7 linked regions of the Bombyx mori genome follow. The protein of the gene in region 1 binds, or shares a complex with, the protein of each later gene. Links are inferred from orthologs where the notes say so. Each region holds a gene or a part of one and is shown in the gene's direction. Other genes may lie near its edges. The genes, in order: mediator of RNA polymerase II transcription subunit 18, mediator of RNA polymerase II transcription subunit 23, mediator of RNA polymerase II transcription subunit 1, mediator of RNA polymerase II transcription subunit 21, mediator of RNA polymerase II transcription subunit 16, mediator of RNA polymerase II transcription subunit 7 and mediator of RNA polymerase II transcription subunit 9.

Region 1 (4,657 bases):
GGAGGATTTCAAAATTTAATGTTGCTACATATTTGAATATTTTTAATTTCCTTATAACATTCTTGTTGAACTTTAGAATAGTCATTTTTTATTGGCTTCATAAAATCTGATTACCTTGCCATATTTCAAACTTCTTGTATGCAATGAGAGCGAACCATCAGAAAATACATTCTGTACTTCAGCGCTTATCAAATCACCTTCCTGTAAATGTTTTCTCATCATCTGCTCATCCTCTTCTGAACGCCTTCTCTGGATTTAAAAAAATATATAAATAGTTATCATTAGATACAAGAAGATTGCTTTATATTATGGAAGTGTGCGTTAATTTACCAATTCTCCGCCAGGTAGATTTACTGAAGAAAGTTGAAGTATTGAATCAAGTCGTGAATTGGTATCAACTTTCCATCTTTTCTGTTGAACTTCCAATACTCTTCCGACTACCACATCGCCTATTTCTCCAACGTAACGACTCTTCAATGGGCGAATGCATATAAGTTTATTTACTTTTTGCATAACCCCAGCAACAGATGCTTTTAGGCAATCATCTTCTGCGTAAGTTCCGTGGCCTCTTAAAGTGCAAAATTATTAAATTTATAGTAATAATAATTCTTAACAATATTGTTTTCGCAAAAAATACCGACCTCATAAAATCTTGTATCCCAGTTATGACTTCGCCAGGAGTGTAAAAACGCGGCGGGTCATTATTTGAGGCAACCGAATGATTTACTCTTTCAGATGCGAGTTTTATAGATACATGACTGACCATTTCTAATGTTTTTTTAAGCTCCCTCTTTGCTAATTGTGAATTGTGTACAACGAACTCATAGACCTATAGTCGGATTTTTTATTAGACGAAGTCAACTGACGTTTACTGTGTTGTCAGGTTTTGATGAAATAAAAATAGTGTTGTGACAAAGTGAACGATTGAAAAAACTCCTGAATTAATGAAATTGCCTCGATTGTCTAGTGAATAGTTAGTGTGCCGAATTGCCGATATCGGGTACGGGGTTCGAATTTTAGGCGTGCTTTGTACAACCAATGAGTTTTCGACGAAATATTATGTTCCTATAGTATCTACCTGCACTGAATACCGAGTGTTTTAAACATTAAGAAAAACATTGCGAGGAAGCTTGTAAGACTGTCCTATTTCCAATACATCATATAGTTGAAATTATAGATGTATAAAATATAACAATTATAGGTATGTAATGAAAATAAAAAAAAGTAATTGTAGTTACATACTACTAGTAACATATATTGGAGCACTTTAATACAATTTTATTGTAAAATATAAATAATATTCTTTTATAGTTTGAAATTAATGATTAACTCTTCACACTCATTGTTCATTCATGTGATTGAACGAGAACTGAACAGATGATAAGGGATGAAATACAATCTCACTAAAATGACGGTTATTTACTGAGATTTTGGCCTTTTTGGACGATCCCGAGAAGTTACGTCCAGCGGCTTGGTTTCATTTTCCCACATTGGTGCACTTTCATAGATATTGAACAGTTAATAAACAACCGTTATTACAGGTTTAAACCTGAAGACACACTAAATAGACAAAATAAAACAAATCACACAATTTCACTCCTCGCATGTAGAATCATTGGTGACAAAAAATGTTTAAAAACAAATACGGCCGTACCAATATGATAATATGATGCGATACCATTGCCTCTCTCTCCTGTATTTGAAAAAGGAAATTACAAAATGTCACCTAAATGAGGCTAAATGTCAACATTGTTAGTAACTGTCAAGCTAACAGCGATTGCAAACATATCTCTACCTTGTTAAATTCCAATATGAGTATTTAGATTATGTTAATTAGAAATTAGAATTTATTTTCTCCTTTAAAATTGCCTAGTTTTTTATTTTACGCAATATTTATAGTTTCGGTTATATGGACTATTTAGACTGAATGCACCTCTATGAGACAGAAAAGTCGTTTATAAGTGTAATGATTTCTTGGCTCACACATAGTTCTTCAAAACTTAAATCTTTAAATAGCTGCTATTGAAGTAGGTTTTCAGATTTTCAGCTCCATAAAATGTCGGCAAACGCTGCACCTATAACAGCTACAGATAGCTTATCGCAAGCTTTAAAAGCGAACATTATACCAAATCAGGAATACTTACTTCAGGTACTACAGGATGTTGAAGTGGCTCAGCTATTTTAAATTTCAGAATAATTACAATATAGTCTACATTCTTCTACAGTTTCCATAAATTGCATACTTAACAGAACTAATTACCATAGTTGCAGCTATTGTATCCAATTCTTTTGACCCATTTGATCTGTTTACATACTACATTCAAAATATTATCAGAACCCATACATACATAGCTTACATATAATAGCAGCCCAAAAAAACATGAGATAAGGTCTTAGTTACAATGCCTACAATGCTGTTCTTAATAAATAAAAATAATTCATTTAATGATTTTCAATTTTACAGTATTTCATAGCTGGAAATTATGATAATTAGGCAACAGGCAGCAACTTTTCTCAAGATTCAGTCAAGTTTGTTAATTGTTGAATATTATACATTTAATTTTTGATTCCACTAAAATTTGATTAAGGGCTCAGTGTTGGACTCGGCAGTAGAAGTTTTACTTCACCGATTACGTGGTCTTTGTGACAATGTTGATGCTGGGCCAGAAACATTTGATGACCAGGAAGTGTGTTTCAGTCTACGGGATCCTAATCATCATCAGGTAATAATAATACTTAGAACTTTTTAAAATATTTCTGTTAATGTTATTATTATTTTAGGACACTAGAATATAAAATGGTTATAAAATTATAATACAATAAAACTTGTATTAAATTATAAATTGATTAAATTTTGCCTGGGCTGTCACCTGTTTGGTCAAGAAAAGTGCTAATGATTTGGTAATCACTATTAATACTGTACAATTCGTGAGCATAAAGACATGCCTGAATCTATATATTTTTCTTTCATGTTCTAATAGTTCATCTTTAATAAATTTAAATTTCAGGCTCCCCCTCTCATGTTGCGTGTTCGTAAAGCATTAGATGCTCGAGACATGCCATTTCAGTTACGATACATTGGGCAGCCTGATTTGGGGGACAAAAATAGGCCAACAGTTGTCCGTTCCAGTCTTGATATAGCCTGCAGTGGAATGCTCATTGAATTTTTAAATGAGCTAGGATGCCGAATTGAATTTGAATACAGTGTAAAAGGTAATAATATTTATTATAATGACAATTATGAGTAATATGATTGTACATGTATTTGATAGTATATTCTAAATCATCACTATTACTATACCACTATTGTTAATAATGACGAATCAAAGAAGACCAATAGTCAAAAATACTAATTCAATTTAAAGTATTACCTAGATTTGGGATTTAATTAAATTGCATATAATTTTCAGTGGTTCATTTAAAATCAATCAATTACGGTAATTTTATAAAAAACATTAAGCTTTTTCTAATTCTAAATTTCAGGTTACATGTTTAGAAAAGGTCGTATGAAAATTACTGTAGCAAAAGTGTTTAAGATTTCTCAAAATTCAATGCCACCTGAACCTATCTCACAGAGCTATCTTGTGGAGCTTTCTGTAAGTTTTTGACACCCAATTAAATAATTTGTCAAATTTCCCAAACAATACCGCTTTCTGGTTTTGCTTGAGTATGATGATTATATATGATCTTTAAGTACCGTAGATTGGGGAAAATGGGGACCCTTTCCAATTCCAAAACAAATTTTCAATGCTTTTATTCTTAGGGTAATACCAATAAAATTGAGATTAAAATGGCTCCGAAGGTTTAAATTTTTAAATACGATTCATTATTTTATATAGTTCATATAGTCACAAAATATACACAAAACCTTAAAAAACTTGCTTGACCCGATTCTCTTTGAATGAGGCTATTTCTCTCATTGACTTGTCCTTCTTCAAACGAGGCTTGTGGAGAGTATACAACGGTAGGCAGCGGCTTGGCTCTGCCCCTGGCATTGCTGAAGTCCATGGGCGACGATAACCACTCAGCATCAGGTGGGCCGTATGCTCGTCTGCCTACAAGGGCAATAAAAAAAATACGCTATGTATGGGGACAACAGAGTTTTTCGATAAGGCTGGCACTATTTAGTTCTTAGGTAGGTACCTAACTTTAGGTAATTAATTTTTTATATCTTTAATGAGATACAAAGTTTTGATATCTGAATTAAACTATATAATATTCTTAAACACTAAATAATAGTCATCTTCAGTGCAACAAAGTTATATCTAACAACCCAACAAGAGTATTGTGACATCCCAGATTTGTCCCTATTCTAACTCTAGTCTCTATTCTCCCCAATCTACTGTAAATAAACTAAAAATAAGGAAGAGATTTTTAATTTGCTGGCTTGGTTTTGATGTAAACAGCTTGGTTTTTTCAAGCTATAAAAACATAAGTAACCTAACCTACAGGTTTCCATGAATAAGTAAGGCTCAATAATAAGCTTCAATTGTTTTTTTTTCTTCTTATTTGTACGTATTAAGTAGATTTTATATAATTAATGTATGTAGTTGATGTTTGTAGAGCAATGTGGATTTATTTTATTTCATGTATGTTATGTGATGTGTAGTGTATTTCAGTTGTTGAAGACTTTTACCCTTCTTTAATATCTTTGGTT
Region 2 (4,626 bases), on another chromosome or scaffold:
ATATGCAACTGTGAATCCGAGGAAGGTACTGTGGATCATATATCCTTCAACTGTATCCTTAACAATAAGTGTGATCCTCTATATACTTTATCAACAAACATAATCCCCCTCCCCATCAACATGAACTTCCTATTAACTTTCCCCACTAAAACGGTAGTCTACTTGCTTGGATCTTTCATAAACGCTAATAGTATAAAATTGTAGTTCCTACTAACTGTTTAATGCAAAAAAAATTAAACTAAATAGGTCTTAGCATAATTATGTTGAGATATAGCACTAGCTGCGTGTCGCCGCACTAGTAATGTTGACTTGTTACCATGGATACATTCTCTACTTAATAAGATTGTGTCATGTGAATAAAATATAATTTGTGATATTAAAAAACCGAGTCTGCTTATTCTTCCACATAAAATCTTAACAAATTATGTTGATACCTCCACTACCCGACGTTGGCAAAGTTGTATTTAAATCTAAGTAACAAAAGCCAGAAAGAAAGAAAAAGAAAACTATTTAAGTCAACTAAATAGTGACGTTGCACCGACACATGTGTAATATATTTATTAAATAATCTTCTGATGATATGTGCTATAAACAAGGATTTTCTCCGTATAACATAAGAAGCTTTAAAATTTGATCGTCAGATAATTTCTTCACCATTTTTAAGTAATTTATTCGCCCCAGTAATCCGCAAAAACAACCAACACGTGCTTACTGTGTCAGCACTGGAATGGCACTGGATCCAGGTGCACTGGATTGGTCGCACTGAATTCAAAAGTAGACCGCCAATCCAGTTACTGGACTGGAATGCTAACTGGATTCAGTGCATCCAGTGCCAGTTTACATTTTTCCAGTAAGCAATCCAGTGCTGGATTCGATCACTGGACTGGAATAGTGTAAACCGGGAATTATTTTATACAAAGAGTAAAGTTCAAACTTTTTTTTAAGGGATTTTATGACCCGGTGACTAAGACTTTTAAGTCATGTCTTATTTTAATTTTTTTTTTGAATTCTTATTTTTATGAAAAATAATGAAATGAAATGAAGATTATTTGTTTGAGACATGAATCAACTTGGATGAAATCAAATGAAGTGAGATGAGATGATATGGGATGAAATATAATCTCAGTAAAATGGTGCTAATTTACTGAGATTTTTTCAGTGGACTTTTTAGATGATCCCAAGAAGTAACGTCCAGCGGCTTTGTTTCATTTTCCCACATTTGTGCACTTTCATAGATATTAAACAGTTAATAAACCACCATTATTACATATTTAAACCCGAAGAAACACTAAATAGACAAAATAAAACAAATGACACAACTTCACTCCTCGCGTTCCCGCCAAAAAGTCCATTTCAAACTTTATTGTCCATTTTTTTTTTTTTTAAGAGATTTTATGACCTGGTAACTAAGACCTTTAAGTCATGTCTTATATTCTTAATTTTATGAAAAATGATAATATGGAGTGAAATGAAATGAAGATGATTAATTTGAAACATTAATCAACTGGGATGAAATTAAATGAAATGAGATGATATGGGATGAAATATAATCGCAGTAAAATGGTGGTCATTTACTGAGATTTTTTCAGTGGACTTTTTGGAGGAACCCGAGAAGTTACGTCCAGCAGCTTTGTTTCATTTTCCCACATTTGTGCACTTTCACAGATATTAAACAGTTAATAAACCACCGTTATTACACATTTAAACCTGAAGAAACACTAAATAGACAAAATAAAACAAATCACACAACTTCACTCCTCGCGTTCCCGCCAAAAAGTCCTTTATTGTCCAGTGTCCACATTTAGCATAGATTATTCAATGCATTTAGTCATTTATTAAATTTCGCGTAGTGATGGTTTAAGTATCCCAGTTTTTACTTGTTAACGTTGGCATGTAAATTTAAGAAGAACATAATTCCTAACAGCTGCATTTGTAATTAAAATTTCTTTCTTGAGTTAACTTCTTCCGTCAAAGATCTTATACATAATTATTATTCTGAAAGACATGTACCGATAACTTTGTAACCTTTCGGTGTTTTGTTGAAAGCGTAGTTTGGATGCTCCAGTGCTTAGCTAGTTTTTTGTATAAAGGTGACCGTCAATCCAAGCGCATGTTCGAGGAAAATATAATCACGGAAATGGCCGATTCGCAAGTCGCCAACATAGTGAATGAAATATTGGTAAATATATTTTTCTTGGTTAATAATATATTGGTAAATATAAAGGTAAACGTTCTACTGTGCCCTGCATCTGTGAAAATAATAGGTACTGACAAAAAAATTACTCACATGATCATCTACATTAATTATGAACAAAATGTTGTTTACTATTGTTTGTTTTTCATGAATAAAACCTACAAATAATCGAACTTGTTTCTTAGTTGCAAACATGGACTCATGAGCTGATGGTAAGTTGTACTTCGAGATCAGAGGTTTTATGAATAAAAATTAATTTCATCTCATTCATTACGCGCTGAATATGTACTGTTCTGCGTTTATTAATATTTGTGTCCACGTGCTTATTGTATGTAGCTGGCTTGATGTGAAGGTTGATTGCTTCATTTATGTTTAGGTTTAAAGCATCTAGCGTGTTTACAATGTGTAATAAATTTAGTCTAACATGGAACGTAAGGACTAAGTATCAAATGAATAAAAAAGCAATTATGTTATGAAAATAACAGAATATTTCAAATTTCATTAAAACTATGGAATTGTCAACTCTATTTTACTGTTGCCAAGTTAACCTTATGCATTTGTTTCAGTTTTTAAGATAAATTAATATCTCAAATATTTGTTTTATTCTGAATTAAACTTTGACCGATGGGCTAGATTTATCACAGAATGTAAATTGTACATAGCACTGTAGCAAATGATAAAATTTGTAAAGGGATTAAACTAGAAACCTTGTTTTTTAATCAACTAAGACATCTTAAAGTATAAAACTATTGATAAATAAAATTTGCAGTGTCAGAACACCAAACTGTGAATTGGCAGCAATATTAAATAAAACATATTAATAGTACATTCAGTATATTGAAATAATATTTAAAATGCTGTTTGAAAATCTTTTACAAACTTCTTACAATAAAAAAACAATGAATGAGAATATTAAAATAGCTTTTTTAAATTACTCAGTTTAGAATTTTTAGTCTTATTTAATATTTAAGCATAATTTGCATTATGAACACATTTTCGTTTTTGCAAATTTTGTATATTCTTGAAACCTCTGATGTTCTTGAAATATTTTATGTGCTTATAATTGATGTATATGTTTGTGTTATGTAAGTGTTGTATACAGTTTTCATAAAAGTACTGAAAAATGTAAACAATTCTAAATTAGTGATCATCCTTGTTAACCTTCATGAAATAACATAAATTTAAAAAGGTCAATTATTTTAATTCAGCAGTAAAAAAATTTAAATATATTTGTTGTTTCCTTAATTGGTAACAAAAATTATCTAACTTATTTTTATATATATTGTTTACAGTTATCTGCACGTTTATTTAAACAGTACTTGTCTTGTCTCAAAACTTGCAGCTTTTTACTGATAAAAACTGTAAATCAATAAAAAATGTAACAATATTTTACAAACAGTATTAAGTAACTATTATAAATACATAAATAGATAAATTTACCAAACACATAAATAGATTATATAAATACATAAATAAATTACCTATTTTCATTCTTACTGTTATCAAATTCAAACATTAAAATTACTGGTCATAATTTAAGTCAATTTTGGGTCCTTTCATTTACCAACAATTTTCAATTATTTTAGAAGTGTGATTAAGAAATTTGCATCTGGGCATTATAATATCTTCCCATACTGTGTCCCCTACATTATTAGAGATTGGCAACAATTAAAGTTCTCCTATATGCTCAAGAGACAAATGGAAATTAATTACAGTAACTAAAGCGCTCATTTCTCCATTGTTGTGTCCTTAGTGAAAATAGCCTTTATAGATATTTTAATTATGTTACATTACATATTAACATACATAATCACTCGAGTTGTGAATTTATAGAATAACAGTGGAAAAAATAAGACACTTCCATATAATGAAATTGGAAAAGGGGTTTAAGATCAATATCAGCTGTATGTGACTTGGTGATTTGGGACACATGTGTTCTACTACCATCTCAGATACAAGCCCCTCTAATGTTCCTGCTTCTGATGATTAGAGGCTTTTGGGTGTCAATCTGGAGGAAATTACATCCACTCTGGTGATATAGAATGAACTTGATATTATAACTTATTTCAAGGGTGGATGTTTATCTCTTAGTCATGGAGATAGTTCTCTCAGCTGCCAAGAATGTACTACGATAGTCATAGAAAGTTGTTGAAACGCTCTAGTGTCTGGTGTTGTGGTAGTAGGACGTAACGTAAAATTATATTAGTTCTCAGTTGTCTGTGTGACCACGAAATTTGTAAATTTTTCAAAATGACCCAAAGAGTTAATACGAGATTAATCCATAAAAGTACAAAAATTTTCATTACTTTAAAGAATATTCACAATCCGTTTTATGTTTATGTTAAGCAAAAAGCATCCTTTTTGCATATCAATTATTAAATTAATGTGAAACAATTGTAGATTATAGTAGTACTGATTTTCTTCAATCAATT
Region 3 (3,995 bases), on another chromosome or scaffold:
GTGCGAGAGAGACAACGCTCTGTGAAACTGAAATCGATTGGTTGTCCCTTTCCAATGGACGAAGTGGAATATTTATCGCTGAGTATTGCCGATGGGTGACCTAACGCCGCACCTGATGTTATGAGGGTGGTGGCAATCACCTCTTTTTCTCTCTGTATACCAAAAATAATATTGTTTATGTTTTATTTGTCAGCTGTCGAACTCGAAAAGGTGTTGATGTTCGAAGTGAGCGCCCTCTCGTGGCAGCACATTTCTATATCGTTGGAACATCCGCTAGAAGAATGTATGGCCACCGTCGAACTTGAACTGTCGGATCCGGCCTCGCCCCGCGCGTCTGTGTACACGCTGAACAGTCCGGCTCGAGACCACATCGACGACTACATCACCAGGGTGCTGCAAAAGAGTCATTCTATACCAATAACGTTAAGGTGAGATATCATTATAAAGCAAATTAAAAAAAAAACAATTATATTTTGCTTTTTTCATTGGTTAGATTCTAACTCTACACACATAAAATAAGAAATTCTAGAATATTGTATTCTTCATAGAACACGATGCTAAAGATCAAAAGTCAGCTTCGACATAGTTAAAGTTGCTTGACGGGCGCAACGTGATGTATCGTAATTTTTTTTTATCAAATGTCCAATAATTTGTATGAAAACGTATTGGCTAATGTTTTTTTTTTTTTTTAACACTGAAACTCCTCGATAACTGTTAAAGAAAAATATACAGGAAATCGCTTGACGGACAAAGGAATTCTGAATTCGTCGTGGCCTAACAGATAAGACGTCCGGTGCATTCGTGTTGAGCGATGCACCGGTGTTCGAATCTCAGGTGGGTACCAATTTTTCTAATACGTACTCAACAAATGTTCACGATTGATTTCCACGGTGAAGGAATAACATCGTGTAATAAAAATGAAACCCGCAAAATTATAATTTGCGTAATTACTGGTGGTAGGACCTCTTGTGAGTCCGCGCGGGTGGGTACCACCACCCTGCCTATTTCTGCCGTGAAGCAGTAATGCGTTTCTGTTTGAAGGGTGGGGCAGCCGCTGTAACTATAGTTGAGACCTTAGAACTTATATCTCAAGGTGAGTGGCGCATTTACGTTGTGGATGTCTATGGGCTCCAGTAACCACTTAACACCAGGTGGGCTGTGAGTTCGTCCACCCATCTAAGCAATAAAAAAAAAAGGAAAAAATGTCACATGGCTTTTTTTTTTTAAATACTATCTCGCTCGTTTCAGGTCTCTCGTCAAGATATGGGAGCGCGAGGCCGCAGCGAAGCAGATGAACGGCGGCTACTCTGCCCTGGACTCGAATTTTAGTTGCGGCGTCGGCGGACTCGACCCCGGCGGCGAGCAGCTCAAGCACGAGCCCGCGCACCCGCACCGCGCGCTCTACCCGCACCCGCACCACGCCGGTAACCATGCCTCCCCTACTCTTATACATAACATTACAGATCTCTCTCTCGTATATACCTAGTCTTGCCATAAATACTATTATTTTAAAAATAAAAAAAATTCTATTGCAATTTTTTTTTTTTGCTCTTGTAGGCAGACGAGCATACGGCCCACCTGATGGTGAGTGGTTACCGTCGCCCATGGACTTCAGCAATGCCAGGGGCAGAGCCAAGCCGCTGCCTACCGCTTAATACTCTCCACAAGCCTCGTTTGAAGAAGGACATGTCATAGCGCTCGGGAAACACCGTGGAGGGGAGCTCATTCCATAGCCGGATGGTACGTGGCAAAAAAGATCTCTGGAAACGCACTGTGGATGACCGCAGTGGCTCCAGGTAGTATGGATGAACTCTACTCCGGTGGCGGGCGGTGCGATGGTAAAAACGAGATGCCGGTATCATCTCGAACAATTCCTCAGAGCACTCCCCATGGAACATACGGTACAGAATACAGAGGGAACCGAAGTCCCTCCGCAGACCCAGAGGCTCCAAGTAATAACATTTATTACTTTTACAGTGTGTTAGTTTAATACATAAATATAAAACAATTTAAAGTATAAAAAGCTTATTCGAAGTGGTCTCCATTGGCTGCAATACAGTTCTTTAAACGTTGAGGCCAGTTATCAATAGAAGCACGCACTCTTTCCGCGGGAAACATTTTCACTGCCAATCGTACGGATTGTTTTAGGGACTCCAAATTATCATGGCGTTTAGAGCAAGCCGTACTCTCTAAAACTGACCATAAATCATAATCCAGCGGATTAAGATCAGGACTAGACGACGACCAGTCTTCAGCTCTGATGAAGTCCGAAACGTTCGTTTCCAACCAAAACTGCGTTGACCGAGCTTTATGACCTGGCGCCGAGTCTTGCTGGAAGGACCATTCTTGATTATTGAACATGGTGTTGTTAAGGGGCTTCACTACCTTCTCAAGAATGGTATCTTGATACACTTGTACCGATGTTTTGATACCTTTTTCACAAAAGTATGGCTCAGTCACTCCTTCATAGCTAATACCCCACCAAACCATCACTGAAGTCGGATAGTGCCCACGTTGCACTCTGTCGACTAATTGGGAAGCTTCCTTAGAGATTTGAGCAGAAATACAGTAATTTTGTTTGTTAAAATGTTGCTCAATTGTAAAAAATTTCTATGACCGCCCTTTGCTTACCGCTTCAGTTGTTGTTTCGATTTTACCACCCTATTCTCTTTTAAATTATCAGTTAAGAAATGACCAGTACGTCTGTTATAGGCTGCATGCAAGTACTAAGTCATCTTTTAAAATACTCGACATGGTTCTAGGTGCTATCTTCATCTTCCGAGATAAAATCTTTTGCTTTCGGACAGGATTTCTTCGAATTCTTTCCCTTACTGCTTTGACCACCTTTTTCGTACGAACACTACGTGGACGGCCAGATCTTTTTCTGTCACAAACAGAGGAGGTCTCATTGCACCTATTAATAGCCCGGCACACAAACATTTTACTAATACCAAGCGTATGGAGAGTTTTAAACATTGCATTTGGCTCCATACCTACTTTGTGTAATGCAATCACAGCGATTCGGTTCTCTTTATCACCCCACTCCATTTTAATATCGCAAAATATTGTACTATGTATTGGCGCCAAAATGAGAAAACTCAATGAGCAATCATATAAAAATGACAGATTCCAAATTCAAATGTAATATTTTGTTTATTTTTAATTGTAACAGTATTTATGGCCAGACCAAGTATATTTCAATCGATAGGTACACCGCCTGAAATTCGTTTCCCAAGATACTTGTCCACCTGATGTTACTATAAAGAATTCTCTCTCTTTCTTTCTCCTCTGTCTCTTTTTTTTTATTGCCCATGTAGGCAGACGACCATACGGCCCACCTAATGGTGAGTGGTTACCGTCGCCCATGGACTTCAGCAATGCCAGGGGCAGAGCCAAGCCGCTGCCTGTTGCTCTCTCTCTCACACACACTCACTCTCTCTCTCTCTCTCACACACTCACTCACTCTCTCTCTCTCTCTCTCTCTCACACACTCACTCACTCTCTCTCTCACACACACACTCACTCTCTCTCTCTCACACACACACACACACACACTCTCTCTTTCTCTTTCTAACATTTTCTATATTTAATTGCACCACAATTTAACTTAATACTTCTTTGAAACTAAATGTTCTCTCTATTTTTTTTGCTCGTTTTACTTGTCAGCAAAACCTCAATTGTAGGATATTATATTTTCGCCAAGAACCAGTGACACGTTCCGATTTGAAAGGTTAAACCGACTGCAGTTATATTGTACAATTGAGACATCGACCTCATGTCTCATGGTGCATGGCGGAATTCACATCGTTATGTTTTTCGACACTGGTAACCGCCCAACAACATGTGGGCTGTTAATTTGTTTACCGTACCCTATATGCAATAAAAAAGGGTGTGTATGTGCAAGTCACATACGGTAGAAATGAAACTTATAAATAAGATATAGTTATAGATATACTGCCTATCCCACTACACAGGAGCATACATATGGACAATGT
Region 4 (4,503 bases), on another chromosome or scaffold:
TTGTGTGATTTTTTAAAAGTTTTAGTAAATAGTCATTACTTGTTGCTATGTTTATAACTATATTTATGCATAAAATTTGATAATAAATTGAGAATAGATCTATAATTTTAAGGTATTTGATAATAATTTTGGTACTATAGTGTGAAGCTTTGAAGTTTTCAAACAATTTATCTAAATTGTTTTAAAACATTTTTAATAACAATCACGAGGTTTTGTGTGTGTGTGTTTTTTTTTCTGTGCACAATTTAAAACCTCTGTCTTTGTAAATGTGGCCGCAAACGGGGGTTGCTAGCTGATAAAGATGGAAACCTAGATCCAAAGTAGAGTGAGAGAGTTAATGCGTAACATCGTTTGTCAGACAAGGATGGCGGTAGACAAACTTACCCTATTTAAAAATTAAAAACTAATGCGCATGCGTCGAGTGCTAGTTTATTCAACCAACTGCGCTCACTTTCTTACTTTACAAACGATAATTTAGTTAGGTACTCAAAAAAAAGTGGGAATTTTTATTTGCTATATTATTATGCTAATGAATTATATTCATATTGCTGTTATTAGTAAAGTTTTGTACTTAATTTATAAAAAAATTAGATGCTATGTTGGGTATGTACATACAGTACTCAAAAATCTAATTTAGCAATTTTCATTGTTGACTTCTAAGCAATTTAAATTCGATAACGGCGGATTTCTATCATAAAAATGTGATACCGCAAATGCTTAGTTATTTTTAAAGAGTGCAGGTTAGGCTGAAAGCTATCTAGTCTTTTATTGTTAATTCGTACGAGAATAGCGCGAAAGCGGTGATGGAAGTTTTTTTTCCTACCTATTCGGTAGCCTACACACACTGCGACGCAACTTCTTGATGAATTTTAGTTGTTACAAAAATGACGCGAGGATTTGATATTTACTTATTGCGCGACAGGAGGTGTTTGTTGATTGTAAAAAAAATGGCTTACACGAAACGAAAAGAAAAACGGAAAACTTTTACAAATTAGTAAAGTTCTGCCAATTTTACTATAGCACAGCTGCCTTAGATTGAATTAGACTAATAGTTGTAGTAGTCATTAAACAATAACATGTTTGAACACACAACCTCGTTATATCCGTAATGTGAATCCAGCTTATTGTTAATGTTGTTTCATTGAATAACTAAAATTTAAAAATAATCGTTTAAGGTCTGAAATGAAAGAGGTTCATTAATGGTTTTTTATTATACTTAAATACTCAATAATTGTGATGTTTTTCTAGTCGGTAATATTATGGTTACCTATTGTGTACACTGCTTACATTAAATAAAGGAAATTTTGAAATTCATTTCATTGCCTATAATTAAAGTTTTTTAATTTTTTTTATATGTAGATGGGTGGAAGAGCTCATAGTCCACCTGGTGTTAAGTGATACCGGAGCCCATAGATATCTATAACGTAAATACCGTCACCCACCTTGAGATATGAGTTCTAAGGTATACTTACAACGGCTGCCCCACCCTTCAAACCGAAACGTCAAGTGGTCCTGTTATTAGCAACATTACTATTTAGCTTATAATGTATATAACGGAGAAATGGTTTTCTAAATTTTAATACTGATGAGAATGATTGCAGTTCTAAATGTATTTTTTTATTGCCCTTGTAGGCAGACGAGCATACGGCCCACCTGATGGTAAGTGGTTACCATCGCCCATGGACTTCAGCAATGCCAGGGACAGCCAAGTCGCTGCCTACCGTTAAGTACTTTCCGCAAGCCTCGTTTGAAGAAGAATACGTCATAGCGCTCGGAAAACACCGTGGAGCGGAGCTCATTCCAAAGCCGTATGGTACGTGGCAAAAAAGATCTCTGGCTTAAAATGGCGTTACTATTCCAAATTAGGTACTGTTTTGCTGCACGCCAAAGTTAAACGATCGTAATATAATTGTTTCCTTACAGAACTTCAAGTTATTTGGATTTTAGATTAATGTCTCAAATGAATCAACTTTATTTCATTTCGCTCCATATGATCATTTTTCATGAAAGAGAATAGAATGTACATACAAAAGACTAGGATGTATGGTGTGTGATATCTTCGCCTTTCCACCTGGAAATATTGGAAATATTACTTAAAAACGTCATAACGTTCAACTTCAAATAACTTCATTCAAAAGGTAGTTTTACAAATTGATACTGTAGGTAGCTTAAAACCACCTTCCATAGAAAATATCCATATAAGGATTAAATTTTAACAGTGGTTAGTAGGATAAATATCTGAATTGAATAATGGCTGATCGCTTAACTCAGCTTCAAGATACCATAAACCAAGTACGTATGACAAAAATGAACATTTCGTTTTAATTGACATTAATACATTTCACATACGTTGTATTTATTTATTTGTAGCAAGCTGAGAATTTTTGTAACAGCATCGGAATTCTACAGCAGTTCTCGTTGCCTAGCAAGTTCCCAGGCTTCGAACGCGGTGGTTCTCAGACTCCTCAACAACCGCAGAGTCAAGAGGATTATGCGGTTTTATTCGCGGCTCTAATTTCTCGTTGTGCTAAGGACATTGACACGCTCATCGAGTCTTTGCCCAGTGAAGAGAGTTCAACTGAGCTGCAAGTGCAAAGCCTTCGGCGACTTGAGGCCGAGAACAAGGAGGCTGCTGAGCAACTTGAAGAGGTAAGGGCTGTCAACTCTCCGTGCCCAATACACGTGCAATTTATCTCAAAGGACACTAGCTTTCTTTTTTATCATAAATTGGGAATTATCATGTAACTAAACCATTAAAATAATGATTTTAAAGAAGTAATTATGCCATGCAGTTTGCTTTTGTATTGCCATTTGAATGTAAAATCAAATATTCCAAGAAAGTATTTGTATTACAGACATTGTATTTTGTCTATAGTCAACTTTTGTAATGTAAACAAGCACCAATATTTAAACATAAATTAGTACCTACTTAAGATAAAATTGACAGTAATAGCGATTTGGTTAAAGTTGTTTCCTTAACTTCATTTTGAGATGGCACACTGGAATTGTATCAGCGAATATTACTTTATTCAATTTTCAAAACCCATAGGGTGTTTACAGATTAATCTCATGTTTTAGATTGCCATGACTACAAAAACTTATAGTATTTGAAATATTGGAAGTAATCATATCGACGCTTGAAAGGCAAACGTGACTAAGCGACAATGCGTGAACTTCACAGTAGACTAATTTCAAGATGAAATACCTGAAAAAATTCTATTTTAACGAAACTAGCTGTAGGATTGAAATGATTTTAATAGACCTAGAAATATATTTTTTTTGGCATTGAATATGGTTATTGCCTATCATGTATAAAGCAGTTATTGTCGCTTAGTCACGTTTGCCTTTCAAGCGTCGATATGAAAATAATTACACATGACTTACTCTCTTTTCATTAGCGTTAATAATAATGTCAGACAATATTTAATAATTCTACAGGTAGTCCGTCAAGGAGAGATTCTTCTAGAGAAGATTCAGGGTGCTCTGAGTGATATTGCTCAGTGCCAGTTGGACATGCAGAATCCGGCTCTGATCCTCAACAAGGATGTGAAACCACAGTTATAGGGATGGGGTCTGGGGTTCTACCAACGGTAGTTTCCTCTACAAAAGGATACGTTAAAACAAGAATACACGGAAGTATTTTAGTATTATATGAATTTTAAAATTTTGTGTTTGAAATCTTAATGCTTAATGACGAAGATTTTTTTTTGTTGTTTGCAAATTTGTTACAGGGCTTTCATGCCGGTGAAAACTAAATTGTCTGAATGTCATATTTTTGAAACTATAATAAGAAAAACATTGGTATGACATATATCATTTTAAGTAATCATTTGTTATAATTGAATAGTTAAGTATACATGACTTGTTTATTCATTATTTTCTATTATTACGTAAGGCATACTTTAAGTCTGAAAGGGTAGGTACCGCCACTCTGCCTATACATACTGTAAAGCCGTTGTTTTCCAGTTTTGAAGCACAGGTTAGTTGTTGATGATGATTTTGAGATGAGTGGCGGCAATGACTGGGATCTCTGGGCTATGTTAATCTCTTAATATTAGATGAACTCGTTCATCTATATACATAAAATAAAATGAACACAAGGAAAAAGTAAAGGTGATTGTATTCAATGATGAACATGAGTTTTAATTAAATTAAAAAATATTTATGTTTTATGTTTAATTAATTTAATTAAGTTATTATGTTTAATTAAAGGTTTAATTTTTCTTTTTGTTGTACGCCCTGTATATGCTGGAATGGACTCGAATCTAAATATTAATATACTTTAGAGATTGGAAATAGAAAACTATAATCTTGAAATGAAAAAAAATCTATATGATTGAAAATAAATGTTGATAGCTAAGAGTGTTTTATTAAATCAAATGTTTTATTTGTATAAATTTCAATACTGATTCAATGGTAAAGAATAGTTTAATTTAGTAGAAGTAGTGTTCCTTCAGGTTTATATATGTATTAATGGTAGCTTATTTACATTTTAGCATCTCT
Region 5 (3,995 bases), on another chromosome or scaffold:
AAGCTGAGGATAGCTCTGTGCAGGTAGAAGGGAGGGGACACCGCCTCCGCGGCTGCTATTTGAACAAATTCACATCGCGGCCCGCAACCTATCGCAAAATTCATTTTTTAAGTTAAACATGGGGTCATTGAACCTGGCGTCCAATTGAACGTAGTCGCCCCGGGGCTGCGGCGCACGTGAGCATTTATATAGTGAGCAGCTGTGACGACACCGCCCGCCTGCTGATGCACCCTCACTAACATCAGTGCTTGTGCGGGCGGGCGTCATTATAAGCTAATGTCATTAAAAGTAGTCACCGACTGAGTACGAGACTTGAGATTTAACACAAGTGTGTATAAGGGCAGGCTGTCGGCCCGGCTGACGGGCAGCGGCGCCTGGCTGACGTGCCTGCAGACGTGCGAGGTCGTGTGGGCGGCCGCCTCCGCCGCGCTCAAGCTGGAGGAGCGGCCCGACGGCGACTGCGAAGAGAACCACATCGAGCAGGATAAGGTGGGTGGACCGGACGACACCTGTCTTGTCGTGTCCCGATGTCCGTGGACTACACGGAGCTGGTTCGTCGTTACAGTTGATAGCGTCGCTAGAAGCGAAGGCGGAGGCGGGCGCGGAGCTGGCGGCGCTGCGCGTGTCGGTGCAGCGGGTGGGCGACATCGCCGTCACCGCGCTGCTGTCCCTCTCGCAGCAGCCGCACCACCAGTCGCACGGGTGAGCCGCTCGACACTCCGCCAACATTTAGTAACATTAAACCACATTACATTTACGCTACATCTTATAGTGGGCGGCCGCGGAACCCTTGCACATCACGTGAGTCCGTCCTGCTCATGGAGCCCAACAAACATATACTCACAACAGCTGGGGTAGTACAGTTGACGGGAGGGACTCAGAGCGGTGTTTGTGGCAGGTACGAGCTGTGGTCGGACAACGGCGCGGTGTGGCTGCTGCGCAGGGTGCTGGCGCTGTCCCGGGGCACCGGCCGGCCGCACGACGCCGCCGCGCGCTGCCTGGCCCGCCTCGCCGCCGCCGCGCCCGCGCTCAAGCAGGACCTGCTCGGTACCACGCACGCAGTCACACGCACATGCTACACGCACACATGTTTTTTTTATTTTTTTATTGTCGTATAGGCAGACGAGCATACGGCCCACCTGATGATGAGTGGTTACCGTCGCTCATGGACGTCAGCAATGCCAGGGGCAGAGCCAAGCCGCTGCCCATGTACGCACGCCACACACAGGCACACACATCACACACGCACGTACGCACACACGCACGCGCCTTTACTAGCTCTGAGTCGCGATACCACAAATTAACTCTACCATAATTGGAGCGACATGCAAAAATACATTAATCATATATCGTCATATTTGTCCCGCACAAGCTGTGTGCCCCCGGGCACCGCCGCGGAGCAGTCCACTGAAAGCTCGGAGCGTGTCCTGGGAGCTCTGTCACCGTCCGACCCCCTCACGCAGGGGGGCCGGCGGCAGCGCGGGGAGCAGGGGGCTCGAACCGGTGGACGAGCGTGGACCGTTGATGATGATGACCATATTAGTTTTTGTTTTTATGTAATAGAGGAGTGTGCGTCGCTGGTGGCTCAATGTCCGGGGCCGCGCGTGTGGGAGGCGCTCCCCCGGGTCAGTGTCTCGGCGCCTCACCAGAAACCTGGACCCCACTATGTAAGTTGCGTGCCCGCGGGGCCCAGGGGGCGTACATAGATGTACGTACCTGGTCCAGTGGGGCGGAGGTAGCAAGGATTCAGCTACCTGTGAAACTACAATTTTATTAATTCATTAAGTCAGAAATTTGGTTCTGAGTTTCGTATCTACGTATTCCGATGCATTTTGTATTTTCTCTCTGCCGGTTATAGTTTTATCATGTGAACTAGTAAACTAAAAAAGATACCCACTCACCCTTATAACAGAAATTGACGCAAAAAAAGAGCTCTCTCTCAGAGCCTCGCTAAACTTCAGTATCCCGCCAAAATTAAAATTAAACTTCAAACATGTAAATAACCATTCGGTCGCATAGGAAAGTAGTATTTTTTTGTATACTTAGAAAATATTCCTAACAAATTCGGTAGCCACGGAGGTCTGGCGTGGTTGCTACAGGGGCTGCTGGGAAAAATGGTCCAGGAGGAAACGTCCGGTAGTGTGCGGGCCGGGCGGAGGTCATGTACAATGTTTGTGTACAGGAGTCTTGTACTGACGCACCGACCTTAACCGTTGAGTAGTGTGGGGCTCGATCCAATATAGATAGTCGACTATAATAATTTAGTCGATTAAACTTGTGAACGATCAAAAATCAAAATAAATTTTAAAAAATAACGAAAAAGAGTATCTTAAGTTAATAAAAGCTAATGAATTATAAATAAAATATAAATTACACTGCCCTATTAGCGATTGAATGTTTATCGCCTTCTTCAAATAACATGTAAAAATAATGTTATCAGTTGGAGTACGGAGTAGAGCCTGATTCATTGAAATATGCGCCGGAGCCGCCCCCCTACGTGCAATGTGAAACTACACCCTCTCTAGCCATGGACTCCATACGGTAAGTGTTCAGAAGCTGTTGCCACTACACTGTGCTTATTTGTATACAGACAACAACATATTACAAATAACGAATAGATAAACATAATTAAAGTTAAAAGAAGTAAATAGCTAAAAGCGATATAACTAATTTTTTCTAACCACTCCCTATTATTTTCTAATGAAATACGTACTCAACAAATGTTCACGACTGCCTTCCACGGTGAAGGAATAACATCGTGAATAAAAATGAAACCCGCAAAATAATAATTTGCATAATTACTGGTGGTAGGATCTGTGAGTCCGCGCAAGTAGATACCACCGCCCTGCCTATTTCTGCCGTGAAGCAGTAACGCGTTTCGTGAAGGGTGGGGCAGCCGTTGTAACTATACTGAGACCTTAGAACTTATATCTCAAGATGGGTGGTGCATTTACGTTGTAAATGTCTATGGGCTCCAGTAACCATTTAACACCAGGTGGGCTGTGAGCTCGTCCACCTATCTAGCAATAAATAAATAAAAAACAAAAAAAAATATTTTTTTTTAAGCAAATTAAAAATACTTAGAACGGAATAAAATATAAATGTTTTAATTGAACCACGCAACGCAACAAGAGAAACTTCAAATTGTAACATTTAGCCGTACTGCATGCGCGGATCGTATTTTTAGAAACGTACAGTTTGTTAGAATGTAAACAAGAAATTGATAAATGTATTACATGATAATATATAATATCCGGTTGCGTGTCAGGTACATGTACCTCGGAGGAGGGTTGAGGCCGGCCCGCTGGCGGGGGTGCGCGCGCTGCGGGGGCAGGGCGCTGGCCGCCGCGCTGCCCGCCAGGCACCCGGCGCACAGGGCCTTCGACGCTCGCTTCGTCTCCAGCTGCAGGTCGGTCTGCGTCCACTACTAGAAGAGCTCTTGACCTCGGGGAGTCGCCGCCCCCTTGTTGTCATTTAACAGAGCGAACCAACCCTCGTGTCATGAAAGTTTAAACCCCGTTGACCAACTGTTACTGTTTTCAGATGCGGAGGAAAGTGGACGCTGTTCACAAATACTGAAATGAATTCAAACGATAAATAAACTTGCAAGTGAATGTGATAAATAATAAAATGAAATAACGTTTAAGTGTTGTTGTTTAGTTTTATTTTCTTAAAACGCTCGTTAGCGAACTGTGAACTTCTCATGATGTATACAACTTCATATTATCCGGTTGACTGTGTTCCGTGGGGCTCTCCATGGCGATTGGAACGTGACGCAGAAGGCGGCTGTTGTTATCGTTTCCGCCCCTGACTGCTTCCCGACTCTCGCATTAGACGCCTTCAGCTCTAGCACTAAGAGCAGGCTTAGGGACTAGTAACCGTATTCGTTGAAATAGGCGAAGAGTTCGACGTGCAACCTAAGCCATACGTCAGCCTGCTGAGTTTCTCAATGGATCTTGTCAGCGGGTCGCGATTCCGATCCGATTCATACGCGA
Region 6 (4,679 bases), on another chromosome or scaffold:
GGTGGCATGCCCGACAAATGTCGACCGTCCCATCCTTTAATATAATATATTTCCGGTAGTTGTTCGTCATGATAACTTCGTCCATAATTGCAAAGATAAAACCTTCAGTTTCCCCAAAGAGGTTACTGAATCGTAACCAGGCCACGGAAGCTAATTGGTCTACATCAGGCCCTGTGAGAGCCCGGTAGAACCTACCGTGTAACTCCTTGCTCCTCCATACGGTTATGCGATCTAAAATACTCTTATTATTATTATTATTATTTGGTATCTAAACATACCTATCTCACACCATGTTTATTTAATGAAAAATTAAATGGAACTAATTATGAAAAGAAATTTAACTTGGATTAAAACTGAAGAATTTTTTTATAAATTATATAAAATATACAGATCAAATAAAATAATTCATAAAACTTACATCCCGAATTCCTGCCAAAGGTCTGCTAAATTAGATATTTTATTTCATTTTTCATTTTTTATTTGGGTTATACAATTACGTATGAAATGTAAATAAAACTACTTTTATTGTCTTTAGCGAATAATTGAATTTTTTCAAGTCTTAATAGTTGGCGCTACTGCAAAACATGCTGTCTGTGGCGGGTAGCCATCATACAACGCAAGATGATTGACGGATGCCTGAATCTCGCTTACGACATTTTCAAGATAAGGCAGAGCTCGAAACTTAGGCATCCGCCACAGAAAGCATGCTTTGCAGTAGGGCCAACTATTACTGTAGATATACGATAAAGGGAAGATCTTCCACCGAGCGGGTGATAATTGCTCTGTAGACCGACGGTCCGAATGTTGTTGTTCGGAACTTGTATATAAGCAAGCTGATCTTGAAAATGTCGTAAGCGAGATTCAGGCATCCGTCAATCATCTTGCGTTGTATGATGGCTACCCGCCACACTGTCAAACTGCAGTTTCGTGTATCCACTTAATCGCAATCGCGATGTGCCTTTTAATTTTTTTTATTTTTTATTGCTGAGATGTGTGGACGAGCTCACAGCCCACCTGGTGTTAAGTGGTTACTGGAGCCCATAGACATCTATAACGTAAATGCGCCACACACCTAAAATATTGTCCTCTGTATGAGAGCCTACTGCTATAATCCAATTGATCCAGCTCAATCCAGACACCAGAATCTTGCAAAGTTATAATACACTTAACAGATCTTAGTTACTCATTGATTTTCTTGTGTGATACATTTTATGAAACCATTTTAAATGATTTTATAGACACACCCCACCCCTAAGTTTGTTGCCAATCTTTCCTGTAACATCCTTAATAGTTAATTGTCTCCACGACTTGCGAAAGCTAAAGGAACAAAGCCCATAAAACATCTTTTTTATTTTATTTATAAAAGCCAAATTGTTTACATGAAATTTCTTTTTGGTTATAAAACATCAAAAATCTTTCGACAAAAATCAGTTCGGGATTTTTTTTTTCTAAAGGTTCATTGAACACTCAGTACATTCTCAGAATTTTAGCGAAAAATTACTTCACTTCATTTTGTCCACACTTACGGTGTTGTCATAAACTCACCTCTAAATTGAAGTTCATTTAACTTTCACAACACCTTCGACCTTGGTGGCAAAAATTGGAATATATGAGCTATGTTCCCTTTGCTTATCCATAAGGCCAATCAAACAAAAAAAGCATACTAAAGCATAGATTAAACACTTATTTTTTAGAAAGCATAGACAAAGCTCATAATAATTCATACATTTCATACTGTAGTGTGTAAAGTTGTTTTAAAATAAATTTCTTCAATTTAACACAATATTTAAGAGTATGTAAATCTTTTTTTGTAAATATAGGCATATTCCGTTTTTATTAAGTGTTTGCTAGAATCGTACGTACGGATTCCCGGTTCACAATGTCAGAGACAGCTCAAGTTAGCTCTTTACCTCTGCCTCCAATGCAATATATAAATTTTTACACGGATGAAAATGTTAGAAGAAATAGAGCTCCTCTACCACCTCGACCTATTCATGATTCTTATTCAATGTTTGGTAATTCTTTTAACGCTGATGATGCTATTATACGTTCGTTAGAAAGCCAGGTAAGTCCTAAAACAACTAGTTTACAAACACAAATGTTTATGTAAATAATTCGTTGTAAAAAATTCCTTCAGGGATTTCGAAGATTGTATCCTATGCATTTTGAACGAAGAAGAGAATTGAAGAAACTTAACCATTCACTGCTGGCAAATTTTCTGGATTTGTTGGATTTGCTTGTTCATTGTCCAGATTCTCCAAAGAGAGCAGAAAAAGTAGAAGACCTAAGTTTGTTATTTATTCATATACATCATCTTCTAAATGAATTTAGGCCACACCAAGCAAGAGAAACATTGAGAGTAATGATGGAATTGCAGAAAAGACAGAGGGTTGAAACTGCAGCAAGGTACTATTAATAGCGTTAATTTGTCATATGTTGGTGTTTCTACTATATCTATACTGGACACCAAGGAACCATTCTAGAAAATAAAGATAGATCTCAGATCACAAATGACAAAATAAAAAAGATGCCAACATAAATATTTAAGTTATGTTTTTGCCACACACATGATATAACCATTAAGTGTGTGACTTATCCTTTATTATTTTAGGCTTTAACATTATAATATGATCTTTAATTGGGTGGTAATGTGAAAGTCTGATTTAAATTTCACTGGTTGGATTTTCACTGGTTGGAAACATTAGGTGCCACTAGTGATTAGACATTTTTATCTGTTACCACAGTACCTTCATGATTGAGATTCCCAGACATTTTGCCCATCAATGTTATGTTAATTTATTTATAATTAGTAGAACCTGAATAAATTTATTGTGTTTAATCTTACCATAGGCTGTTAAACACAAAGTCATATTAAGTTCTCCCAATGTTTGATATTGAAGCAGAATAATGAAAATCAGATTTGTAATGAGTTTAATTTTTTTTTATTTTTATTGCTTAGGTGGGTGGATGAGCTCACAGCCCACCTGGTGTTAAGTGGTTACTGGAGCCCATAGACATCTACAAAGCAAATGCGCCACACACCCTGAGTTATAGTTCTAAGGTGTCTCAGTATAGTCACAACGGCTTCCCCACCCTTCAGACCGAAACGCATTACTGCTTCACGGCAGAAATAGGCGGGGTGGTGGTACCCACCCGTGCGGACTCACAAGAGGTCCTACCACCACCAGTAAAAAACCTTAAACTTGTCTCAATAAAAAAATTTTAGTATTCATAATGTCATATCATCTTTTTCAAACCAAAATCTGCCCTCTGCACTTTTTAGAGATTTCCAAATTTGAACTGTTTTGAGTAATATACAAAAATATTTTAATATAAAAAAAAAGAAATTAGCAGATATTGTTTACTGATACTACGAGGGCGGCACTGAAAATTTCGGGAATTAACGAAGTGACGAAGTTACTATTTAAAAATGTATTTATTGCTTATCGAAGTATTCTCCGCGAAATTTGACACATTTTTCCATACGATGGAACCAATCATTGAAGCAACCATTCCATTCGGAAGTTGGGGTCTCCAAAATGGCCGTTTTGTAGGCGTCTACAGCTTCTTCAGGTGATGAAAATCTCTGTCCACGCAATTTATTCTTTATTTTAGGGAAAGTATAGAAATCATTAGGGCTTAGGTCGGGGCTGTACGGCGGATGGTCTAATAATTCTATGTTTTCTTGCTCTAAAAACTCTTTTGTTCTGTGCGCGGTGTGAGAACTCGCATTGTCGTGATGGAGGATGATGCGGCGGTTGCAGTTCTCTTTACGGAGTTCAGAAACGACCTGTGGCAAACAAATGCTAGCATACCATTCTGCATTAACCGTTCTTTGTCCCTCAAGAGGAATAGTCGTAACATGGCCGGTTTTGGAGACAAACGTGGCCACCATTTTTTTTGCAACACTCCGTGAACGAACAATTTTTGTTGGCTTTAACTCATTTTCGAACACCCAAACTCGTGACTGGTTTTTTGTTTCGGGTTCGTACGCGTATATCCAGGATTCGTCACCTGATACAATGTTGTATACAGCATTTGAGGATCCTGCGTGGAATCTTTCGAGAGTTCTGACGCACCAAGTAACGCGAGCCGCTTTTTGCTCTTCACAGAGCGAATGCGGTATCCATCGGGAAAACAACTTTTTTACACCTAATTGTTCATGCAAGATTATTTGTATTTGACTCATGCCAATGTCTAAAGTTGCCTGAATTTCGCGGTATGTCACATGTCGATCTTCCTCAATCAGCTTACGCACAGCATCAACGTTTTCTTGGGTGACTGCAGTTTTTGGACGACCTTGAAGGGAATCATCACTGAGCTTGACACGTCCACGTTGAAACTCAGCAAACCAGCGATAAATTGTGGTTTTGGATGGGGCTTCATCACCAAATACAGAAATCATCCGGTCAACACACTGTTTTTGTGTTAAACCACTTCGAAAGTCATAATAAATCATCGCTCTTGAATTTTCTCGAGTCAATTCCATTTTCTCAACGACTAAACAAGTTTGACAAAACCTCGTGACAAGACCGAGAATCTTTTTTAAAATAAATAAATGGTATTCGATTTTTAAAACCAAGGAGTTTTCAATTAAAAAGATTTTAATATGACAGGAACAGTAGAAATATTCCATTCCCGATACTTTTAGTGCAGCCTAGTATATTATAACACAAGAT
Region 7 (3,564 bases), on another chromosome or scaffold:
CACCTGTCAAAAACAAAGTGGTAGTTCCACTTTTCCAACTAAAAAGGCAAAAGTATCATACCATACAGCCTAATATGCTATTTTTTTTTTATGACAAAAAATAGTTATGACATGAAATGAAATGAAATTAATTCATTTGGAACATTAATAAATTGACCTAAAATTAAATGAAATGAGATGAGATGATATGGGATGAAATATAATTTCAGTAAAATTGTGGTTATTTACTGAAACTTTTTCAGTAAACTTTTTAGACGATCCCGAGAAGCAACGTCCAGCAGCTTTATTTCATTTTCCCACATTGGTGCACTTTCACAGATATTAAATTATTAATAAACCACCGTTATTGTTAAGTTACACATTTAATCCTGAATAAACACTAAATAGAAAAATAAAAAAATAAAAAAACTTCGTTCCTCGTATACCCTGTCAGAAACAAAATAACACACAGCAACACACTCTTAACTCATATTTTAATATACGTACGAACCATAGAAAATGATTCGGATAGAGCCTGCTACTGATGTTTCGAAGTGCCATTTGGCGTTCTTAAAATCTGATGCGATTTCAATACTAAAACGTATCACTACAGAGCTTCTTGATTTAGAAAGAATGGGGTATTTTATTACCGTAGCACCTCTGATTGATATATTTTTAATTAATTAAAATCACTAAGCACATATTATAATTAGTTGAGTAAAAACAATTACCTTCAGCGTGAATAAACTTAGTAGAATTTTAAAACTTTCGTAGAGTCGGGCCTAAAATTTATGCAGAATATAATGATAGGTAAGTAGTTTAAAAAATTTCTATTTTCTTAGTCGATTCCAAAATCTTGGCAGAAATAGGAGAAGATAACTTGTCTGAGTTGTGCTATTTTCTTAATCCAGTGTTTCTACAAGTTTAATAAATAGCAACGGTTTCGTATTCGTGAAAGTGGATAAGATTAAGAAAATGGAACCAAGTTGTTGAACTTGGTTTTTCAAGCGTTTCTAAAAAGTTAAGTGACGAGTAAACTCTCACTATTGTTCAGACTGATTAATTTATTTCGTCCCATAAAACACCGATGGTCATATAATTTCATTCAAATTCATTTTATTTCAAACATTTTTTTCATTTTATTTTACTTTTCTTTAACAGACATTACTACAGCCTTTGTAAAAAAAAGATGTGTGGTGTCGTGGGACACCGGATAGGAACGAAGTTCCTTATTATAAAAATATTAATTTCAAGTTCTATTCGAGGTCTAAAGAAAATAATTATTCAGGTATACATTTTTATTATTTTATTTTTTATTGATAAAAATATAATAATAATTACATTACAAAGTTATCAACTTTATTTTATTCACAATGATTTATAAAAAATTATAATAATAATATACAAAGAAACAGCTATTTATACGAATTATAATAATAACCGTCATCACGTAGACTATACATTAGACACTGTATAGCCATCGTACTAAGAATATACATAAAAAGAGAAAGGTATTATACACTACTCGCTTGTGTATATGACTGTCGCGCCTGCGCACGTCTTATTTAACGGTTTTATTCCACGGACTTTTTCTTACGGTTTTACTATCACATTTTTTTCAGTTCGGACGTGCAGCAAAATCCCTATCTCCTCCAAGCCTGCCGTAAAGAACTTCGTTCCAAAAATTTCGTGTATGAGCTTTATTTCCTTTGCTTGTCGAACACCGATCACACAAACATTCGACTTATTCTCCGCGATTTCGTCCATAGTCCATTGCTGTCCATAGATAACACAATAACACATCATTATTTTTGTCGTTTTCGGTTTTGTGATGGTAAAGAATCTACCTACTTTTTTACGTACCTAGGTTTATGTGTTTAATAACCATAATCTAATAAATTTATAAATTAATAAACAACGTACGTATAATAAAATCTGTTACATAATAAGCAAGTGAAAAATTGTGCTTAAAATTTGTACAATGGAAAACAACACAGATCATTCAGAACAGACGAACTACAGTCCCCTGACTGTTGAGGATGTAGATGTAGACTTTTTACCGATTGTATACGATATAATACGAAGGTATTTTGCGTATTATTTGAGACAAACTAGATTTGCTCAAGTTCATTTTGTATTTTCTGGTGCTTTAAATGTTTTTATTACAGCGTGGAGAGAGATTTTCACGACAACGCGTCGAAAATACGCGAGTCCCACGAGTGCAGTCATAGAGTTCTTGAATTACAAAAGAGGCTAGAAATAGCTAAAGCTCAGGTGAGATTACTTTCAAATACTGGAAACATACTTGGTATTTAACATTTGTAATGTAAAAATAATATGCTAAGTCAGCATAATTTTTGTATTTTGAGGAATCAAATTTATCATGAACTCATACACAAGTATCTGCCATAATATATCATCAACCAGTACACAATTATCTGCAATAATATATCACTCATTTCAGATCAGGAGGCTCCCAGGTATAGAATTCAACAAACACGACCAGCTGAAGCAATTTGAACTGCTCCGCACTCAGCTGAGATTAAAGCGTGAACTCTTACAGAAGTATCGGAATATGTGCTCATTTGAGACATCATTCAAGTGAAGATGCCTCTACGTGCGCTGCTTAAATACTTAGCCAATAATGAACGAATTGTACAGAAGATTGCAGAGTCCTACCCTGTACGAAGAGCAGCTCAGTTAGCTGTCTCAGTATTTTACAGAGGGAAGGAAAAGCTCTCTGATGTTGATCCACAGAAAGTTAATAAATTTATAGAGTTTTTAAAAAGGTTCAGTGCAAATTTGAAGGAAGGAGTACAGGATGCAAAAAAACAACTGAAAAAATAATAATAGTTCCTTGGATGTTTTTGGCTAACCATGGATTAGTTGCTGTTGATTGTAATTCACTATCAGTAGTGTCCTTTACATAATATAACTACTAAATTAGATAATAAAAAACTGTAACATAGTTAGAGCTATTTTTATTTCACTCACTCTGAACAAATCAATAAAAATATAAACTTTACTTAATTCTAAGAAAAAATCACAATATTGCAATGGTATTCATTGTAAATGTCAAAATATTGAAAATATATTTACTTTTAGAAAGCAGCTAGCTTCACTAATTTTATTGCGATTATAAGGTTTTCAGAGTTAAGGCAATGATGATTCAAAACTCTGATCTCATTAACTTTAATTTTTATTTTTAAGTGTTCAAATATTTTAAGTGACCCTAAAAGATTAAGCTTAGTGCTGTAAAAATATATACTTGAGTTTTAATTAGTGTTATAAGAACCTCGAGGTTATTAGTGATTTAACTTGCGAAAATATGCCGACCCATTGTGACAGGTGGATTAGCGGTATGGCTTGAGGCTGTCTAGATTAATCAGTGTCACTACGTCCCCAGAAAACGACAGGAGTTCTACCCTTGGTAGTAAAACTACTAAATTGTACTATGCAACAATCACTAGAAAAACCTTTAAGTTAGATAAAAAGATCAATATAGATTTTAGATTAATTTGAATAGTATGTGCCACTTTCCAGCCAGTCATTTTAGAGCAATAGTTTTGTATTAAAAGTAAAATA

The links.
Region 2: mediator of RNA polymerase II transcription subunit 18 (region 1) and mediator of RNA polymerase II transcription subunit 23 share a complex: the UniProt entries of both Drosophila melanogaster proteins name them as parts of the mediator complex. The link is inferred for Bombyx mori from reciprocal best matches to the Drosophila melanogaster genes MED18 and MED23.
Region 3: mediator of RNA polymerase II transcription subunit 18 (region 1) and mediator of RNA polymerase II transcription subunit 1 share a complex: the UniProt entries of both Drosophila melanogaster proteins name them as parts of the mediator complex. The link is inferred for Bombyx mori from reciprocal best matches to the Drosophila melanogaster genes MED18 and MED1.
Region 4: mediator of RNA polymerase II transcription subunit 18 (region 1) and mediator of RNA polymerase II transcription subunit 21 share a complex: the UniProt entries of both Drosophila melanogaster proteins name them as parts of the mediator complex. The link is inferred for Bombyx mori from reciprocal best matches to the Drosophila melanogaster genes MED18 and MED21.
Region 5: mediator of RNA polymerase II transcription subunit 18 (region 1) and mediator of RNA polymerase II transcription subunit 16 share a complex: the UniProt entries of both Drosophila melanogaster proteins name them as parts of the mediator complex. The link is inferred for Bombyx mori from reciprocal best matches to the Drosophila melanogaster genes MED18 and MED16.
Region 6: mediator of RNA polymerase II transcription subunit 18 (region 1) and mediator of RNA polymerase II transcription subunit 7 share a complex: the UniProt entries of both Drosophila melanogaster proteins name them as parts of the mediator complex. The link is inferred for Bombyx mori from reciprocal best matches to the Drosophila melanogaster genes MED18 and MED7.
Region 7: mediator of RNA polymerase II transcription subunit 18 (region 1) and mediator of RNA polymerase II transcription subunit 9 share a complex: the UniProt entries of both Drosophila melanogaster proteins name them as parts of the mediator complex. The link is inferred for Bombyx mori from reciprocal best matches to the Drosophila melanogaster genes MED18 and MED9.

What each region holds. Positions count from the first base shown.
Region 1 is NC_085121.1:5,596,603-5,601,259, reverse strand, and holds the start of mediator of RNA polymerase II transcription subunit 18, read left to right. Parts: upstream 1-1,737; 5' UTR 1,738-2,056; coding exon 2,057-2,149; intron 2,150-2,588; coding exon 2,589-2,723; intron 2,724-3,008; coding exon 3,009-3,213; intron 3,214-3,483; coding exon 3,484-3,596; intron 3,597-4,657. Other genes in the region: exosome complex component RRP4, read right to left, coding at 115-249, 331-568, 642-766. UniProt on the Drosophila melanogaster protein: Component of the Mediator complex, a coactivator involved in the regulated transcription of nearly all RNA polymerase II-dependent genes.
Region 2 is NC_085107.1:8,841,951-8,846,576, reverse strand, and holds the start of mediator of RNA polymerase II transcription subunit 23, read left to right. Parts: upstream 1-1,375; 5' UTR 1,376-2,056; coding exon 2,057-2,179; intron 2,180-4,626. UniProt on the Drosophila melanogaster protein: Component of the Mediator complex, a coactivator involved in the regulated transcription of nearly all RNA polymerase II-dependent genes.
Region 3 is NC_085114.1:6,968,139-6,972,133, forward strand, and holds part of mediator of RNA polymerase II transcription subunit 1, read left to right. Parts: intron 1-193; coding exon 194-428; intron 429-1,248; coding exon 1,249-1,424; intron 1,425-3,995. UniProt on the Drosophila melanogaster protein: Component of the Mediator complex, a coactivator involved in the regulated transcription of nearly all RNA polymerase II-dependent genes.
Region 4 is NC_085122.1:11,557,380-11,561,882, reverse strand, and holds mediator of RNA polymerase II transcription subunit 21, read left to right. Parts: upstream 1-1,361; 5' UTR 1,362-2,250; coding exon 2,251-2,292; intron 2,293-2,370; coding exon 2,371-2,649; intron 2,650-3,438; coding exon 3,439-3,564; 3' UTR 3,565-4,360; downstream 4,361-4,503. UniProt on the Drosophila melanogaster protein: Component of the Mediator complex, a coactivator involved in the regulated transcription of nearly all RNA polymerase II-dependent genes.
Region 5 is NC_085108.1:242,861-246,855, forward strand, and holds the end of mediator of RNA polymerase II transcription subunit 16, read left to right. Parts: coding exon 1-23; intron 24-344; coding exon 345-489; intron 490-565; coding exon 566-702; intron 703-898; coding exon 899-1,047; intron 1,048-1,563; coding exon 1,564-1,667; intron 1,668-2,440; coding exon 2,441-2,541; intron 2,542-3,268; coding exon 3,269-3,409; intron 3,410-3,543; coding exon 3,544-3,601; 3' UTR 3,602-3,651; downstream 3,652-3,995. UniProt on the Drosophila melanogaster protein: Component of the Mediator complex, a coactivator involved in the regulated transcription of nearly all RNA polymerase II-dependent genes.
Region 6 is NC_085119.1:10,080,600-10,085,278, forward strand, and holds the start of mediator of RNA polymerase II transcription subunit 7, read left to right. Parts: upstream 1-1,679; 5' UTR 1,680-1,879; coding exon 1,880-2,065; intron 2,066-2,137; coding exon 2,138-2,406; intron 2,407-4,679. UniProt on the Drosophila melanogaster protein: Component of the Mediator complex, a coactivator involved in the regulated transcription of nearly all RNA polymerase II-dependent genes.
Region 7 is NC_085116.1:15,850,567-15,854,130, forward strand, and holds mediator of RNA polymerase II transcription subunit 9, read left to right. Parts: upstream 1-1,683; 5' UTR 1,684-1,960; coding exon 1,961-2,064; intron 2,065-2,147; coding exon 2,148-2,253; intron 2,254-2,443; coding exon 2,444-2,584; 3' UTR 2,585-2,947; downstream 2,948-3,564. UniProt on the Drosophila melanogaster protein: Component of the Mediator complex, a coactivator involved in the regulated transcription of nearly all RNA polymerase II-dependent genes.